Notamacropus eugenii: one gene and its partner. The protein of the gene in region 1 interacts with the protein of each later gene in a biochemical or structural test. Links are inferred from orthologs where the notes say so. Each region holds a gene or a part of one and is shown on either strand. Other genes may lie near its edges. The genes, in order: TOM1 and TOLLIP.

Region 1 (9,877 bases):
AGTGCTTTGCAAAGCACTTCCCCCTTCCTCCCCCCCCCCCCCCCATGAATAATGAGGGAGCTAAGGCTCAGGACGAGAGGCTGATCTGTCATGATCACACACAGCAAGTTTCAAGGCCAGGATCCAAACCAGGATCTTCTGACAGTCATCTCACCCAGTCTTTTTCCACATTAGTTTCCTCATCTCTAAAATGAGAGTTCTGGACCATGGCCCATGAGGTCCCTTCCAATCTGAGGGCCGTGATCCTGTTAATTCCCCACTCCAGCCTCCTTTCCCACCTTCCCCTGTCACTTCTCTTTCTGCTGAATATCTGGTTGGTGCAACTGGAGACCGCCAAGGTTGCCTCACCCCGCTCCTCAGGCCTGTGGCTAGCAGAAGGTCCCTGGGGAACCTCCTTTACAGAGTGATCAGTGTCTACATTAGCCCATCCTGGATGGTTGCAGGGAGTTAACCTTCAGCTTTCAGTGTTCATGCTAATGGATTTCTTTCCTTCCCCCCCTTCAGCCTCACGTTAACGGGATTAAGACTTGTCTGAAAAGCTGAAAATGCTAGACACAAACATTACTCAGACAAAACAGAGCAGAAATATCACAAGGCTGAGAGGAATAAAATTGTATCTTTGTTTTGACTAGACCTGTGATTTCAAGGAATTCCTTCCTATCAATGCAAATCAGCACCTTCTCTGACACTAAGTCTTAAGAGTGTTATCTAGAGTCACAGGCACAGTGTGTCTGAGGAAGCGTTGGAACCCAGGTCTTCCTAACTCTGAGACTAGCCCCATCCACTAAGCCATACTGCCTCCTGTGCCTTTATTGTGGGATAAAATCAAATTCAAGTCATATTAAGCCCCCACTATGTATGTTCAAGGCATTAGGGCCATGAGGACAATCGCTACCCTCAAAGAGCTATAGCGGAGGCAGGGTATAACAGGACAGAAGTAAATTAAACATTTGATTTGATTCAGGAGCAGCTGAACTGTACTGTTCTTGGAAATAAGCTGGGGTTCTTAAAGTGGAGTTGGAAGGAGTGCATTCCAGGCATAGGAGACCACCTTGCAAAGACCTGGGAGGGTGTTTGGGATTGGAAAGCAGGACTGGCGAGCCACCTAGTACAAAGAGAGAAGAAACCATAGAAATGGGAAGAGGCTGATTTATGGAGGAATCTATTAGTGGGTGTGGAAACTAGCCAGAATTCATTAATCAAACAATAAATGTGTGTAGACCACCTTGTTCAGCCCTAGCTGGGAAGTAGGTTTGGATCAGACTGTCTTCCCTGCACTGATGGAAGAGGGCAGCAGAGGGGCGTCAACACTTTCCAGATACTTGTCAAATGAATTCACAAGTTGTGGAACCACATGTTACCTAAGTAGTGGGAAGTTTGTCATAGGAGGCCCAAGACCCACCCCCATTAGAATGTACTGCTTTCCTTTGTCTCTGTACCCCGAGCTCTGAGCACAGGGAGGGCCTGCAAAACTGGGAGTTTAATAAATTCCTTCTGGTTGATTAGTTGATCATTGGGTTCCCCACCACCATCACTACCGCAGCTTGTAAGTGAATGACTTGCCTACGATCATCTACAAATGGCATCTAAGCCAAGCATTTGGTGACATCTGAGTGACTGTTTTGACGGTGTGAAGGTAGAAATGGGAAACAGAGCCAGTCAGTTAGTGAGAATGAAGGGTAATAGAAAACAGAAAGCAGACCCTTCCTACTGCGGCCATGGCCCTGGCCTGCCCAAAATGTTCAAAGGAAGGCCTTTAGTTCACTCCATGTGGAGGACTTACTGAAAGGGAGAGGCAAGAATTCAGTCATCATTTATTAAGTGCCTACTGTATGCCAGATACCATCCTAAGGCCCTGGGGATACGAAAAGTGACAAAAGACAGTCCCTGCCCTCAGAAAGCTCCCAATCTCATGGAATTGCCTAGCATGTTAAAAAAAAAAGTTTCAATCTTTTCAATCCCAGATCAACTTAAGTATGGGAAGGCATCAAGTTTAGAGAGGGAAGGGAAGCCTTGGGTCCTGAACAGCTCTTGAGTCTAGGCACGAGACCAGGTGGTATGATGGAGACAGTCCACAAGCCAGGAGTCCTGGGTTCCAATATTCTCCTGTGACCCTCCCTTCTTTCTTCATCTGTGAAAAGTAGGATGGAAAAAAATCCAGAAGCCACTTGGGTGCCCATTAGGGGGATGGCTGAAGAAATTACTGTATGAGATTAGATGGGAATGTTGCTTCACCATAAGAGAAGAGGCAAAGATATGTCATTAGTTAATGAATTTGAGAGAGAAAGCAGAAGCCCAAAGAACAGGTGTCAACAGACCTGCGTAGAGGCAGAGAACACTGAACTGGAAAAACAGTAACTCATGAGTCCCGTGGTCATTGTCTCTTCTGTCCAATAGCAAGGACACCAGTCCAGTCACCACTTTTTATCATTGTTTTCCTTGCCTAGAGCAGGGGTTGGCAAACCCCTAAGGATTTTTGTATGAACCTAAGGATGATTTATGTAATTTGCCAACCCACACTTTATGGCATCAGGGCATCTTAAATCTAGAAATGAAAAGAATCTCAGAGGCTTTGTGGTCTAGGTCTGCCCAGGGTAACTTGATTATATGCATCAGAGGCAGTATTTGAACCCAGGACCTGTGACTCCAGAACAGGGAGTTTTTTCCACTGCCACCCATTGACTTCTGGAGTGAGACATGTTCTCTTGTTTTTATTTTTACTTGGTCAATGGGTTATATGCTTATTCTATGACTTGTTTGGGAGTTCCATTGTGCTTCTGGGGATTTTTCTGGGTCTGTCTTTGCTTTCCCTACATCCATTTAAACATGTCTGCTGATGGAAGATAAAGTAAAATTGATCCATTAAATGCATGGAGCTGAACTTAGACATCTCTAAGATCCTGTGGTTTTTGCACACTCTTCCTCTGTTCTCCTCTGAAGCAGACACATGGGAGAAGGCAGCCCCAATCTGGTGTCAAAATGTGCTCCACACCTCCTTCCTGACCATGCAAAACACATGAGCAAATAACTTAGTGAGTTCCCCCACTGGAATGTGACTTATTTTATCTGCTTCCCCCACACTTGGCACCATTCATTCATTTATCTCTGGGTTTCAGTTTCTCCCTCTAACAATGCCTGCCTACCTCATGGGGTTAAGCATATGGTATTATGGAAAGACTCCTTTAAAGAGAGTCAGAAGATCTGAATGTCTCGTCTTTACTACTCATCGGTAACTGGGAGACTTTTGGCAGCCTCGACCTCAGTGTCCTTCTCTGTAAATTAAGGGCATGGGGATCTCCCTTTCTACTCTGATAGCTCCCATGTGTAGCACATCAAGGTTGACGAGGCACTTTCCTGACAATTACCCTCTTATGGCACAAGAATTAACGTCATTTTACAGATGAGGCAGGGAGGCTTGGAAAGGTTATCACTTGTCTGCAGTCACACAGCTGGTCAAAGAAAGAGCCAGATCATTGTTGAAGCCCCTTTAATGGCTGTGGTGAGTGTTAAATATGGATTGGAAAGCACTTTGAAAACTCTAGGGCTTATGCAAGTACAAGGCCCTGGTACCCTATGGTTGGGTCTTTCCTGATTCCTCCCAATAACTTGGTATACGTTTGTATTCGCTTGTCTGTGTACATTCTCTCCCTCTCCCCTGTCCCCCAGTAGAATGTAACCCTTGAGAGCAAACAATGCTTCCATTTTTTACTTTGTATTCCCAGGACCTGGCACATACCGGTGTCTGATAAATGTCTATTGAATTGACTTGAACCATAGCAGCAACTAATATTTTTATAGCACTTTTAAGGTTTCCTCTGAGGCCTAAACAGATTTCAACTTTTGTTTAGGTCTTTTAAAAATCACATTATTGTAATCAATGAATACTTAACACCTAATAATAATAAAGAAAACTTGTTTTTATGAATTTTTTTGTGTTTATGGCATCTTCCTAATAACGCCATGAGACAGCCAGTAAAAATGTAATTATCTCCATTTTACAGATGAGGAAATAGGTTTAGAGAAGTCAAACATCTAATAAAATAACTTGAAGCTGGCCCACCTGATTTCCATCTTGAAAGGGCAACACCTTGCCAAGTGGTTCTCTCCCCTTGGGGTTTCCAATTCCTGGATTTTCCTTCTTTTTTCAGAGTGAACAGATAGGCTTGTTGGAAAGGGACCACTGACTGTTTTGGAAAAAACAATGAATGGTCTAATAGTCCTAGTCCTTACCGGAAGGGTGGGGAAGGATGACGTGCTTACAACCACAGGGAAATCAGTCCAACCCTCAGCTCCTTTAGGTGTCCCTGTTCTCCACTTAATTATTCAAATAGAAACTGAGACAAAGGGAGATGGACTTACCCAGGTTGGCACAGCCAGTGAGCAGAAAAGTTAGGTGAGAGCCTAGGTCACTACATGACGGCTGGGCCTTGGTTTACCCATCTGTAGGGGGAGGGGGAGAGCCAGGAGCTCCATAAAGCCCCCAAACAGATGCTGGAATACCAAGGAGTTGGCTAACGGGGAAGGACTGCTTAGTGAGCTGCCATGGTGACCAGGGGTGGGGAGGAATCATACGGTGACTTGGGGATCACTGCGTCCAGCCCCCCATGAGCACTTATTGAGTGCCTACTGTGTGCCAGATACCACGGAAATGACAACAGTGAGGGCTCCAGGGGGGAAGCCGCACAAGGCAGGAGTTTGTGCCGGTCTCCTGGTCCCTCTTAGAGGGCAAGGGCGGCCCCTGACTTTCCTTATATGCGCTCCGGGGCTGGCACACAGGAGGTGCTTAATAAATGCTGATTGACGGTGACTTCGGCAGGTAGGAGGGGAACCCGGCGTTCCCACTCCGAGCCCATCCCCTCGCCCTTCTCCGCTCTCCCTTTTACCATAGAGTCCTTACACCCGGAGCCCCCGGGGGCCAGCCGGGAACGCCCCCTGGCACGGAGGGGCAAACTGAGGCCGCAGGCAGCCAGGGAGTCGCTTATGGCTGTAGCTGCGGGCAAGCCCCGCCCCCTCTCTGGGCCTCCGGTGTGCAACGGTGGAGGAGGGGAGGCCGGGGGCTGCCCTCGATGACCTCTGACATTCCGCGGAGGAGGCTGCGGGGTGGCGAGGTTGCGTGACGTCACGAGGGCCCCCTGCTCCCACCGCGCGCCTACGCCTCGTGCCGGTGATTGGCACGTCACGGGGCGGGGCCTGTGGCTGCTCGGGGGGGGGGGGGGGCGGGTCACGTGACGACTCCGAGGCCGTGGCAGTTGCTGTCAGCTGATCCCTCGGGCTCGGAGGGGTGGCGGCGGCGGCGACCATGGACTTTCTCCTGGGGAACCCGTTCAGCTCCCCTGTGGGGCAGCGCATCGGTAAGTGCTCCGCGCGTCCCGGCCTCCCCAATGCCGGCCTCCGCCTCCTGGGGACCCCTCGGGCTCGAAGCCCCAGATCTAGGGGACTCAGGGGATCCTCCCCCCCTGCCTCGAGAGCGCGGAGTGACAACGTCCTCGAGCCAATAGAAAAGGTGGTTTGACCGACTGGCGAGGGCTCGGGCCTATAGCCTGCTTGGGGGGCGGGAGCCGGAGGCCGCGGCTTATCCAATCAGCGCCCGAGGAGGTCCCCGGAGCCGGGCAGAAAGTTTTCTCTCTTAAAGGGCCCGCAGCGTTCCCGCCCCCGGGGCTCCGAGCGTCAGCTGCGCCGGGACAGGGGTGTCCGGGGTCTGGCACTCGGCACCCGGGCGAGGGACCTCGAGGCAGAGGGATCCACGGGACAGAGCCTGGGGGGGCGGAGGATCTGGGTTCCAGTCCTGCCCCTGACTATTCCGGGGCGGACCAGTGCCCCGAGGGTCTTCCCAACTTTTCTGCGTCACTTCTCTTGTCTGAGCCTCAGTTTCTCATCTGCAAAATGGGGGTGCAGTTCCACGGACATAAATTGGTCAGTAAGCATTTTTGTAGCTCCTGCTGTGTGCCCTGGAGGACTCAGAGTGACCACGTGCAGACCAGATACAGGGGAGGGGGAAAGCTCCCTACTGTGCGCGTAGCCCTGGGCTGGGGAAGCAGTGAGTCTGGGTCTTCTCTGTGTCGCCAGACCGCGGCCCACAGTAGGCGCCTAATAAATGCTGGCTACAGCACTTTCTGTCCCAATCCTGCCTCACTTCCCCCGGGCCACACCCCTTCATCTGTCCCCATTCTCCGGTAGATTTTTGATCCTCTGAATGAAAAGGCATCTATTAAGCACTTACTGTGTGCGTTGGGGGTCACCAATCTAGATGGTCCCTGGCCTGGAAAAGCTCGTGTCCTGTTGAGGGGAGACCACGCATTTAGGCCTGATATTCTGAGAAGTCACTGCAGTTAATCAGTTAATTAACTGACTAACATGTATACAGTGGGTGTCATAGTTATGCAGATGAATGAAAAGTTGATCCTAGGAAGAGGAAGGGGGGCTTCATGGAGTAGGTGGCATGAAGCTGATCCTCCAAGGAAAAAAGAATTCTGAAAAGTAGAAGGGAGGACCTGAGGCTGGGTCTGTCCCAGCTGAGGAGGGGGCCACTGGAAGACCCTGCTTTGTCTGTGATCAGTCAGTCAGCAGCTCCTTTAGGTGCTTACTCCGGGCCAGGCATAGTGGGAGGGGCTGGAGACCCAAAGAAAGGGGAGCTCCCTTTGTATGGGTGGGAAGATGGCTGTGCCTAGGGAATGGGTACAGAGTGGAGAGAAAATCATCTCGCAAGAGAGGCCTTTGGAAGAAGGTAGGATTTGAACTGAGTCCTGGAGAAACTGGGGTAGCAAAGAGCAGAGGTGAAGAAGGACAGGCTTCCAGGCATGGGGCACAGACAGTGCAAAGGCCTGTGGGTGGGAAATAAGAGTTATGTGTTCTGGAAACAGCAACACCAGCACACAGGAGGTGGAAGGTGGAAGACTGGAATGGGGTGAAGGACTTTATTTTCTATTTGATCCTGGAGGTGATGGGGTGCCACTGGAGGGGAGGAGGCAGAGTGGCATCTGGGTGAGGGGAAAGACAGGGCTGGGGATGCTATCAAAAGGCCAGAAGGGATGAGGACCTGAACCAGGCCTTTTAATATTTGCATGACCTGCTTAACAAGACTGTGCTGAGGATAAGATGAGATTCAGAAGGCGGCTGGATTACTCACCGGGTGGAGCACAACTAGTCCAAACTTAGCTTCAGCTACTTTTTAAGTATGTAACCCTGAGCAAGTCAGCTAGGTCTGCCTCAGTTTCCCCACCTGAAAGTGGGACTACTACCAGCCCCTCTCTCCCAAGGTTGTTGTGAGGATCTGACTCCTCCTCTCCCCCTGCCCCCCACCCCCCACCCCCCAAGGCATCTTCTACAATGAGAGTTCTGAACCAGAAAGACTGGGATTCTGGTCCTGGGACTGGCCTGGGCAGGGCAGCCTTGCAGACTGACTGTCCTTTCCAATTCCAAATGTCTGATCTGATTTCATCCCAAGCTCATCCCCCATCTCTGGAATTCCAGCCTTTGTGGTCAGAATAACTGTTCTCAGATTCCTCCCAGGGTGGGGTGATCCCAGCTTTAGACGCCTCCTGGAAGGCCACCTGACCATGAGTCAGGTTCTGGGCTGGAGAGAGCATGCCTGTGGCTCCTGAGTCTTCCCACCCCCCAGTCCCAGACTGCCCCACTTTCACTTCTGGCCAAGATTGGAGCTTCCCTAATTGACAAATACAATGGATTTTTGGAGAAAATTCACCATTCTGAGTTACAGCAATTCATAGAGTGTAACTCTGAAGGCATCTGTGAAGTGTCTGCTTCCTGTGGACCAGGCGTTTGCTGAGAGCACTCAGAGAAAGCAAAAGAGGGCAGAAATGAGGAGGGATGGCATTCCAGGCAGAGGGGACCACCAGGGCAAAGGCTTGATTTGGGAGAGAGAGAGCATGATGTATGAAGCAGGACAATAAGCTGGGAAGAGCTTTCATTGCCAGCTGTGGGCACACCAATCCTTCCAAGGAAACCTTATCAATAGTGTCTCCATTTTACAGATGAGTGAACTGAGGCCTAAAAAGAAATCATCTCCTCAGCACCATGTAGCTAGTCAGTATCAGGCAGGATTTGAACCCAGCTCTCTCCTCACTCTTTGGCAAGCTCCCTTTTGTATGTAACCAGTTTTCCTGAGGGTTTGCCTTTCTTAGCACTAACCAGGAGGTATAGGGGGTCTTGGAAGGCTAAGGAAGCTCCTCTTGGTAGCCTGAGCTACTCCTGTTCTCTCCCAGCCATCAGAGCATCCCAGCAGCGCTGGAAGGGGTCTGGCAGGTCCTTTGTCTGGCCCTCTTATTCTCACTGGCACACAGTGACTTAGCCAAGGTCCCAGAGTCAGTGACAGATCCAACAGGAGAAGCAGACCATCCTCCTCTCCTAGTGGCCACCTTTGACATTAACCCATGGTTCAGGGATTACTGAACTTGAATGTAACTTGAATGTTCTTAGCCCTCTGAGGTTTATGGCAGCCTTGTGGGCTGGAGAATCCACTTAGTATTATGCCCATGTTATAAAGAAGGAAATCGAAGCTTAGTGGACTAATTGATGTGCCCAGGGCCCCAAATCTAAAAGCACAGGATATGAGTGTTCTGCATGTAGTGGGCCCATACATCTGTACTAACCCAGTGTTCTGCATGTAGGAAGCCCATATACCCTTATTAACCCAGTGTTCTGCACGTAGTAGGCCCATACATCTGTATTAATCCAGTGTTCTGCACATAGTAAACCCATACATCTGTACTAATCCAGTGTTCTGCACATAGTAGGCCCATACATCTGTACTAATCCAGTGTTCTGCATGGAGTAGGCCCATACATCCGTACTAACCTGCACATAGTAGGCCCCTGAGAGGTATTGGTTGAACAGCCCAGTCATCCTGATTCTTCCCTTAGTCAGAGGTAGAGTGAAACCGCATGGCACTAATCTAGGTTCATCCCGAATCCTTTCTGTTGGCCCAAGGCCATCTTCTTTGGGGGTGGAAGGTTCTCCCCAGAAGAGCTGCCTCCCCACCAGGCCCAAGGGGCAGGATCTGTAGCCTCTGAGCCCCATCAGCCACGGGCAGAACAGCCCAGAGCTACAGTCTCCATGGGTCTGTGCTGATAATGGAACAAGGTCACCTGTATCCACTTCAAAACTGCATCTTTATACTCATTTTTTGGGCCCATATGGGCAGGCTTGAACTCCACAGGCTCCTCCATCCTCCTACCTGACAGATGGTGGCTCTTCCAGCCCATGGGGTCCACCGTGACCCCTGACTCCCCTCATCTCTGCAGGCTGACAAATATAATTTAGTTAATACTAACCTTCCTGCTATTGTTTCTCTATCCATGGGCCCCTTCACCAGGGCAACAGCCCAGTAGGGAAAGGTTTCCAGATTAATAAGTAATCACTTGTGATTACATTTGGTGGTTATCTAAGCATTTTCTAAGTACTGTCCCAGGACAGGTCCTGCCAGCACCAAAACATAGGGCAGGAGACAACCTGAGGACAGACTACGATTCAGGAATTCTGTTTCCTAGCTATGGGACCTCCCAGAGGATTACAGGGGCTGAATAAACAAGGGATCTGTAGCTTCCACTTATATCAGAGACTGGCCCTAATTTTCATTTTGCTCTGCCACCTACCTGTGTGACATTGGGTAAATCACTTACCTCTCTGTGCCTCAGTTTCTCTGTGAAATTCGACTAATAAGGCAAACAACAGTTGCCTCCCTGACTCTGAATTACAGTCCTTCTGTTTTTCCCTAATGATTGAGTGGGGAGGGCAGAAAAGGCAGAGAAAGGGAAGAACAAAAGTTATTTGTAGGGTTGCAAGCCTGGTGTTTTAGGTAGATGATATTATCAGCAGGATTAGGGAAACGGGAAAGTGGAAAGATGGTCCAACCCTCTTG
Region 2 (9,838 bases), on another chromosome or scaffold:
AGAAAATGGAAGAAGGACCGATATGTATAATAATATTGATAGCGACTCTCTTTGTGGTGGCAAAGAACTGGAAATGGAGGGGATGCCCTTTGATGGGCGAATGGCTGGACAAGACGTGGTGTACGACTGCAATGGAGTACTACTGTGCTGTAAGCAACAGGAGGAGGATAATTTCTGGAAAACTCACATGGACTGATGCGAAGTAAAACATGCAGAGCCAGGTGAACATTGTGCCTGTGTAAAGGCAAGCACCCTAACACACACACAAGTGCCGGCGGTTCTTAGATTTGCTTTTCTAAAAGGAGGATCACTTGTGAGGGGTCACTGGAATCCAGAACACGTGCCATTCACTCAGTTTTTAGGGGAAAAGTCAGCACCATGAACTTCAGAGAAATCAAAGTCAATAGACAGGGCTTCCAACTGTCTGACACACGCCACAGACCAACAGACAGACAACAGTCTGACATACGCCACAGATCAACAGACAGACAACCGTCTGACATACGCCACAGACCAACAGACAGACAACCGTCTGACATACGCCACAGACCAACAGATGGACAACTGTCTGACATACGCCACAGACCAACAGACGGACAACTGTCTGACTATCACATACATAGTTACCAAAGCCTCAAAGCCAGGGGTTCCTTAGGGGCTGCCCAGAGTCTCCTCTGGCCTAACAACACTTCCCATGAGGAAGCCCTCAAGTGAAACCTCACCAGAGAGTATTTATACACTTTTCAGGGCCAGAGGGCATCACAACCCTTGAGAACCAGCGCCTCATTAGAAGACTGACAAAAGGCGTAGGCCTTCCCACAAATCTCCCCTAATCAAACCCCCCTTTATGGGGGGATTAACGGGTGGGGAAGATCTTTAAAGTCCTTAGCATTACAACCTCCTAACAGCCATAATGTACTTGGCCATTCTCAGCAGTGCGGATGCCCTGAGACAATCCCAAAGGCCTCATGATGAAATGTACTGCCTACAGAGAGAAAAATGATGCACTGAGTACGGATCAAAGCAGACTATTTTTACTTCAGTTTCTTGCTTTACTTTTTTGTCTGTTTTCTTTCTGTAATGTCTTCAGTCATGTCTGACTTTGTGACCCTCTTTGGGGTTTTCTTGGCAGAGATACTGGAGTGATTTGCCAGAGGAGGAAACTGAGGCAAGCAGGGTAAAGTGGTTTATGGTCACACAGCTAGTCAGTGTGTGAGGCTGGATCTGAACTCAGAAGCTGAGTGGCCCTGGAGCTACACGCTTTCTTTTGGGACATGGCCAACATGGAGATGTGTTCTGCATGACTTCACACGCATAATCAATATCAGATCGCTCGTCTTCTCAAGGGGAGTGGGGGACAGAAATGAGGGAGAACTTGGAACTCCATTTTTTAAAACAAATGTTAAAAAAATGTTACATGCAATTGGAAAATGTTTGATGAAATAAATAAAAATGTTCCAAAGAGAAGAAATTTACTTCTTTTACAGTATCCCCCACTTGGACCGACCAGAGCCCCTTCTCAGTGTCCCCTGGATGAAGCACGAAGCAGGCAGCAGCCTGGGGCCCGAGGCCCAGCTTCCGTCGGGGGCTGCTGGGTCGAGCACGACTGAGTTCTCATATTTAGATCCAGGCACTTCCATAAATCTGCTTCTCCCCATGGTGCAATGTCCCCAAATGTCCAAACTCAGGAAAGAAAGAACGATCGGGCCCGGCCCCTCTCGTGGCACCAGAGGACACCCCAAGCCAAGGCTGTGCAGACTCACTGTGCATCAGGAGCCAAGCACAAAGCTTCGGTCTAGAAAATCGGTCAAACTATTCAAAGGATTCAAAATGACGGACAAAGTCTGGAACTACAATATCTTACACTGTGTTAGGAAGTGAAAGGCTGCTTGGCTTCAGCATTTAAAATGCCTCTGTCAGCACCAGTGCTCCTTTTTTTAAAAAGTACAAATGAGGAAAAACAAATTCTATGTCACGGAAATGGAAGCCTGACTAGCCTGCTGAAGCAGCCTAGGGTGCATCCACGAAACCAGTCAGAAGTGTTTACTAAACCCTGGGAGTGATAGCCACACCATGATGGCGTCTGTCCTGGACACAACAGAGCTTGAACACTCTCTCTGGGACCTCCTCCCTAAGCAGTCCCCCTCCCCAATGACAATCCACCCTTTCCTTTCTCTCTGAGCTAAGTCTACACTCCAAGATTGCCTCCAAGAACCCCAGGGGCCTGGAGGCCTAAACCATCTGGGCCACACAGACCATTGCTTGCCCAATGACAATCTCCTTGTGCTGCAGTGACACCCATCTTCACTTGCTTCCTAGCTGTGTGGATGGGCACAGGCATCTCAACCATACAACCACATTCCATTAAACACCTACTTTGTGCCACACTCTGGGTCAGAGGGTAGAGGTACAAGGACAAAGAATGGACCGATTCCTTCTCACTGGGAGCTTCTGTTCTCATAGGGAAGTTGTGGGCATGTGGATGTGCACACAACACAAACATGCAGGTAACACACACACACGTGTGTGCACGAGCACACAATGCTTAAATCCAAGAAGGTAGTTCAAGGAGGTAGGCAACTGAGTACAGATGAGGGTATCTGGGCTGAGCCTGTTCCAATGAGGTAAGTGGCCAGCGGGAGACAGCCAGTCTCTGTCTCTCCTGCTCCTGACGGAGGCCAGTCTAGACAGGGTGGGAGCCACACCCTGTGAGACTGGGGGGGGGGGGGGGGGGGCCTGTCACACCTTCTAAGTGCTCTCCCCTGGAGCTGTCATGAAACACCAATGAGATCGTGGCAGCTCAGGGCTCTGCCCATCTCTAAAAGCTACAGAAACTTCTGTTAATTCCTATTAGGACCAAGTGGTCCTGGGACCAGGGGCGGGACTGTATAACTTTGTAAAGTGCCAGCTCTAGCTGAGCTGGAAAGGCTAAGGAGCCCGGGAGGCCTGGGCCACAGTGACCAAGTTGTCCTAAACGCTCAGTTAAACCAAAACAGCCCAGCAGTTCTTCTGACCAAACAGGCAGGTCGGCAGGACAGGGACAGCACCTGGGATTTCCTAACAGTAGGGCGGGAAGCCAGGTCCTTCCCATTCCACCACAGAGCCCGCCTCTTGTTCAATGTGTCTTCAAAGTACTCCAAGCTGGCAGGTGCCTGCCTATACTCCTGGGGTATCAAGGTCTCACGGGTTTTCTTGTCACTAAAGTAGGCAGAAATGGGGGAGGAGGGCAAGAGAATCTTGGTCACTGAGGCCAACTCTGCGGGAACCAAGCTAGAGAGGATCTGGGAGGAGACAACGGGAAGTGAAGGGGACCGGGTGCCCCAGCTCACGTTGTCTTGTTAGGGGGATCAAGACAAAATGGCGACTTCAGCTCAGAGGAAGGATACCAGCCAAAGGTGGTACCACATGACCGAGGGAGGGGCCGAGAAGACAGGGCTGGTAGGAGGCTGACCTGAGGGCTTGGACCAGAAGGCTCCTTCTCCTCTGGGGCCTGTTGGGCAAAATCAACATGTGCCTCAGGTACTGGCTCTGCTACACAAAATTCAGGATTCGGCATCCAAGCTCAGCCACCCACCCAGCCCCAGCACCTCTGGCTGAATTCCTAGGAGCTGAGCTTTCCTTCTCTTTCCCACGCCTCTCCCCACCCCTCAGGGGCTTCTGGTCCTTCCCTAGTCAGGATTCCTAATCCACAAAACACAGGAAGCCACACTCACCTGAGTCCCTCGTTCCTAGGCATGGCTGCCAAGGTCTAAGGCCTTCTCATGCCAGGACATCTTGTACCACCCCAATCTTCCCCTTCTTCCATCACTAAGTTCCTTCCAGAGCCCCCACTGTGAGGAGGAATGAGCCCAGCCATGGCCTCCATGCCACCCGCCCCCCTTTCAGCTTGACTGCCTCTCCCTCCCAGGGCTGCCACAGAACCTGGCACACAGCTGAGGCTGTACAACCGTCAGTTATCACTGTCATTCCAGAACACAATTACCTATCACCATCCTCACAACAAGCCTGTCATCACCCCCACTTTACGGATGAGGAAACTGAGGCAAACAGGGTCACCCGGCCAGGATTTGAACTCAGGCCTGCCTGACTGTGAGCCCAGAGCTGTCCCTACCGATGGACCCTCCATCCCTGTCCCCACGTGTGAGTATTTCCGTGCCTGCCTCCCTGCGGAAGGACCGAGGCTGCGGGCACACGCTCCTCATGGCTCAGCAGGTTTCCACAGGCCTTGACCCTGAGGCCACAGGGAGCCACAGGAGGTGACTGGGGAGGGAGGGTCTGGGGGAGGTAACGGGGCGGATAAAAGCACGAAGTCCGGAATCATCGCCGATAAAACCCGTCTAAAACAAGGCATTTAGGGGGAGGGGGCTGGCAGCCCTGGTGGAATCGAGTTTCCCCATCTGCGCTCGAGGAGGAAACGGCCAGCCCCCCCCCCGCCCCCCGGGGTCACAGGGCACCAGCCCCTGATGGAAGGACCGGGGGCACCTTCGGGTGTGGGGGCTGCCCCTCCCCCCCAGCACCCCGCAGGGCTCTGCCCCCTCGGGGGCACCTTCGGGTGTGGGGACTGCCCCTCCCCCCCAGCACCCCGCAGGGCTCTGCCCCCTCGGGGGCACCTTCGGGTGTGGGGGCTGGCCCTCCCCCCCCAGCACCCCGCAGGGCTCTGCCCCCTCGGGGGCACCTTCGGGTGTGGGGGCTGCCCCTCCCCCCGCCTGAGCGCCCCGCAGGGAGGGCCGCTGACCCCACAGCCCAGGTCACAGAGCCCCCGGGGCCGCCCGGCTGACCCCTGACCCCGGCCCTGCTCACCCGGGAGCCGCCCCCCTCCCCCTACACGGGGGGGGCCTAAAGAGAGCTGGAGCCCCTCCCCCCACGAGACCCCCGGAGGGCCCCCCGCCTTACCGGGCCCCGCTGGGTACTGACGGTGGTCGCCATGGCCGCGTCACCCGCTCCCCGCCCGGACCCGGGGCCCAAACCCCGGCGCCTCCTCCTCTTCCTCCTCCACCGACGCCGCCTCGGGCTCGTCAGCTGACTGACCGCCCGCCTGGCCCCGCCCCCGGCTCCGCCCCCGGCGCGCGGCGCGCGGCCACGCTGCGCAGGCGCACGTAGGCCCTGCCCAGCGACAGTCGCCTGGGAGTGGGGCAGCTTCCGCTTCCGACACCTTTTGAGTTCCGCCCCGCCCCCCGGCAGAGCCCGGATGTTCCCGGATACAGCCGCGTCTGCGCAGTCCGCCGCCTTCGCGAATGCCTCCTGGCGGACACTCAGCTCACACACCGAACCGGGTCTGCTTGGGAGCATGGGTGGCCCGGGGCGGGGCTGAACGAGTCCGGGCTGGATGGGGTCCTCGAAGGACCGCAACGAGGCAGGGTCCGGCCAGTCCCTGCACCCCCTCTGAAATACTTACAGGGACAGGGAGCTCAGCGACTTTCCAGGACCTCCCTTAGGATGGCTCTCACCATTGAGGTTCTAGCCGCAGCTTCCCCCCACGTGGCTGCGACGGCTACAAAGGGAAGGCTCCCCTCTTCCCTCCCTCAGTTTCCCGAGTTTGCACTTTCATGCACTCGGGTATTCCTGGAGATGCTGGGGGCATCTCTTTGCCCATTCTCCCCACCACGCGCAATCTGCCCTTCGGAAGTCCTAACCTGACCCTGCAAATGAGCCCTGCCCTGGACGGACAAATCCAGCCCTAACCTCTCTCTGCCCCAGTTTCATCTACAGGCATCTCAAACTCGGCTTGTCCAAAGCAGAACTTGCCATCTTTCCCCCAAACCTTCCGTCTACAACACCCCCACTCTCCCAGTGCCCCAGGCTCCCAACTTATGAGGCATCCTGGGCTCCTCACTCTCACCCCCAGATCCAAGATGGTGCCAAGGTATGTCCATTTCACCTCTGCTACATCTCTTGTCCATTTCACCTCTGCTACATCTCTTGTCCATTTCACCTCTGCCATCTCTTGTCCATTTCACCTCTGCTACATCTCTTGTCCATTTCACCTCTGCTACATCTCTTGTCCATTTCACCTCTGCTACATCTCTTGTCCATTTCACCTCTGCTACATCTCTTGTCCATTTCACCTCTGCCATCTCTTGTCCATTTCACCTCTGCTACATCTCTTGTCCATTTCACCTCTGCTACATCTCTTGTCCATTTCACCTCTGCTACATCTCTTGTCCATTTCACCTCTGCTACATCTCTTGTCCATTTCACCTCTGCTACATCTCTTGTCCATTTCACCTCTGCCATCTTTTGTCCATTTCACCTCTGTCATCTCTTGTCCATTTCACCTCTGCTACATCTCTTGTCCATTTCACCTCTGCCATCTCTTGTCCATTTCACCTCTGTCATCTCTTGTCCATTTCACCTCTGCAGCATCTTTTTGTGTCCCCCAGTGCTTAGCATAGTGCCTGAAACATAGTAAGGGCTTAGGAAACCTTAGTTGATTGATTGCTTGGTTGATACAGACCCTCATCACTTCACACATGGACTATTGCCATAGCAGCCAGTGCATCTACCTGCCTCAGGTTTCTCTCCAATCCAGCCTTCATTCAGCTGATCTTCCCAAAGGGTGAGTCTGACCACATCACCACTCCCATCCCACTCAGTAAACTCTAGCAGCTCCCTTTGACCTTCAGATTCAGATAGGAAGTTCTTTGGCATTTAAAGCTTCTCACATCTTGGCCCCCTATGACCTTTCTAGTGCACTTATATTCTACCTACCTCCAGCACTTGGAAAAACAACCAATGCTTGTTGACTGACTGGTTCTCCACGATCTACTCTTCCCCACCAGTGGCCTGCTCTTTCTCACCTCTGACTCCAAGAATTTCAGGCTTCCTTTAAGACTCAACTCCAGTGTCACCTTCTGAAAGAGGACTCTCCTGACCACTCCCCTGCACTGATGTCTTTCCTTCTTAACTTTCCATTTATCTGTCCATCTGTCTATTCATTGACCTTGAATGTCCTGATTTATATGTTATCTCCCCTATTAGAATGTCAGCCCCTTGGGGGCTGGGATTATTTGTATTTTCTGCCTCTCCAACACTAAACACAGTGCCTAGTGCATTGTTCGGTCATTTTCAGTGGTATCCTACTCTCTGTGACCCCATTTGGGGGTTTTTTGGCCAAGGTAGTGAAGTGGTTTTCCATTTCCTTCTCCAGCTCATTTTACAGATAAGGAAGTGAGACAGAGAGGGCTAAGTGACTTGCCCAGGGTCACACAGCTACTAAGTGTCAGAGGCCAGATTTGAACCTAGGAAGATGAGTCTTCCTGTCTCTAGGTCTGGCAAGCTATCCACTGTGCCACCTAGATGCCCTGACCTAGCACACAGTAAGCACTTAATAAATGCTTGTTGATTTTTGATATCATATAAATCATTTTATTATTCCTGATTTTAGCCTCTATCATGTTCCTCGAAGCAATGGCTCAGAACCTTTTTCCTCATGGATGGTGGTGCCTGCTATCATCCAGAAATGGGGGTCTTTGGAGGAAAACAGTTCACAGACAAAGAGAATCAGCTCTGTTTTGTACAAAATAAATTCAAGTTGCCACCTGGATACCTAGGAGCCATGTGTATGTCCATGGCAGTTGGCCATGTGGGGCAGAGTTCACAGAAAGACGTGAGCTGGCTATATAGTTTGAGCCATCAAAGCAGAACAGATGCTTAACTGATGGGAGCAAATGAAATCACAAAGGAGAAAGAAGTGTAAGGAGAGAAGAGGAACACCGGGGAGAAATTTTTGTGGATGGTCCATCAAGGAACACTGAGGAGTGAGTGCTAGGGACGTGGTGAACTAGAGCACAGTCTCAGAGAGCCAAGAAGAGAAAATGTGTCTAGGAGGAAGTGGATCAGTGCTGTCCCAAGCTGGTTGACTTCAGGAGGACCTAAATAACATCACAATGTTGGGGTCAGTGCCCAGGATGTCCAGCCATGGCTGCTTAGGCCAGTACAAGCTAGGAAAGCTCTGCCACAGGTCCTACACAAACAATCCATCTGGACATTTGGGAGGGGGATGTCTCTGAATTTGCACATCTTACGTTTCTTTTGAGCTAATGCAATTCTGCTTTGCTTATAGAACACAGTGCCTTCTTTGATTCGGGCACGCCATACTCCGCAGTCATTTGTCAGTGCCTCCTGTGTCTCACAATTGATTCCAGAGTTCTTCAGAGAGACCTTGAGAGTGTCCTTGTATCACTACAAAGAAGACAAGAAAAACTCCTCAGATTCAGTATTTCAGAGGTCATTTGTAAGTTTTAGCCAAGTGGAGGAGCTGATAAAGGAGGCAGCAAGTGTAGATGGTTCTTTCCAGAAGAGTGGCTATGCGAGGGAGAAAGGATAAAGTCCCTTAGTTTCTCACTGGAGGACAGTGTAAGGAATGGGAAAGTACATTCAGCATTCAATTCCAATTCCAAAAAAATTCCAATTTATATCCCCATAAATACAAAGAGAGAGCCAAAGTGTTTCCATTTTTGGCATTTGAGAGGAGACTAGGAAGTAGCCTGCAGGCTCCAAGCTCAAGCATCCCCCATCAGTCCTACTTTCAGGGGTGGGAGGGATCAAAGTTGCTGGACCAGCTACCCAGACTCTCAAAGTATTCTTTGACCCTGACCTTTGGGAAAGGGGGTGGGGAGAAGGAAAGGAGGGAAGCCTTTGAAGGCAGAGTGAGATACCAAAAAGCAGCTGCTAAAAGTTAAGCCACAAGGCCCTGCTGGAGGATTGGGATTTGGGGAGGACAAGAAATGAGCAGGTCAGGTGCCTGCAGATCAGGACCCAGCGCCAGCAAGAACCTGCAGATGCTGCGTGAGAAATGGATATGTGGTCCCTGCTTTTCCTCTTCCTACACCTGTAAAACAGAACAAAATTACCTTCCTCTAAACATATCTATTTCTGTGCCTGTCACCACCATCCTTGAGGAAGGAGAGGATTCTGAATAATTGTTTCAGGGCGTGTGATAGAGCCAAAATAGGGAAGAACTCGTTTTGGGGGCAGCCATGAGATGAGAGTCCCAGCTCAGACTGAATGTTATGAATTTTTTTACATTATTCTTTTCCTTTCCCCTTCCCCATTCGTTTATTCATTGTTTTAATGAGTGATCCAAGAGAAAGAGAGGGACCCCCATCCCTGGGAAAATACCCTCTCTTGGATGGAAGCAACGCAGTGCCCAGTGCCACCGAACTCTGGGACAAGCAGCCATGCCCCTCTGCCCCCTTGAAGGCAGAGCTCAGGGCCCAGGGCTTAAGGAAAACTCATTCCTGCAGAATCAACTTCGCTTCCCTGGACTCAGAGGATTAACATGGAAGCCTGCCTTGCTCGACAGCGCCCCCTGGTGGTTATACTCAAACAAGCAGCCTCTAGTGGATGGGAAGTTTTCATAGGGCAGTCATTGAAGTCATCTGGCTACAGCTTAACTCAACAAGGACAGTGAGGAAAGAGGGTTGTGCTTAGGCAAGAGGGAGGCAGGTGAGCCGGGCCTGGGAAGGGCTGAGCTTCTCGTTTTGCACAGTGTGAGTTCGCTGCTTCCTGAAGGAGGAGGGCTGGAGGGTCCAAGAGACATGAACAGAGGAGGCCACCCTCCAGGAGCTTCTAGGACTAAGGGGGGTGGGGGGGGGCATCTGTCTCTCACCAACACCCCCCCAGTCATGATCCCACCTTGTCCATATGGCAGCCAGTCCTGGTTCTCTCTCTCCGTCTCCCCCCTCTTCCTCCCTCTCCTTTCTCTCTCTCCCCTTCCCTGTTCTCTCTCTCTGTCTGTCTCTGTCTCTGTCTCTATCTCTGTCTCTGTGTGTGTGTGTGTGTCTCTCTCTCACACACACACATACACACACACACTGTTGATTAAGTGGAAGGGTGC

The links.
Region 2: the proteins of TOM1 (region 1) and TOLLIP form a complex in vitro, tested with the Homo sapiens proteins (3 studies listed by BioGRID and IntAct, with this or other methods). The link is inferred for Notamacropus eugenii from reciprocal best matches to the Homo sapiens genes TOM1 and TOLLIP.

Annotation. Positions count from the first base shown.
Region 1 is NC_092874.1:292,426,093-292,435,969, forward strand, and holds the start of TOM1 (target of Myb1 membrane trafficking protein), read left to right. Parts: upstream 1-5,225; 5' UTR 5,226-5,299; coding exon 5,300-5,351; intron 5,352-9,877.
Region 2 is NC_092873.1:26,707,570-26,717,407, reverse strand, and holds the start of TOLLIP (toll-interacting protein), read right to left. Parts: upstream 4,461-9,838; 5' UTR 4,157-4,460; intron 3,831-4,156; 5' UTR 3,737-3,830; coding exon 3,714-3,736; intron 3,491-3,713; coding exon 3,452-3,490; intron 3,199-3,451; coding exon 3,048-3,198; intron 1-3,047. UniProt on the Homo sapiens protein: Component of the signaling pathway of IL-1 and Toll-like receptors. Inhibits cell activation by microbial products. Recruits IRAK1 to the IL-1 receptor complex. Inhibits IRAK1 phosphorylation and kinase activity.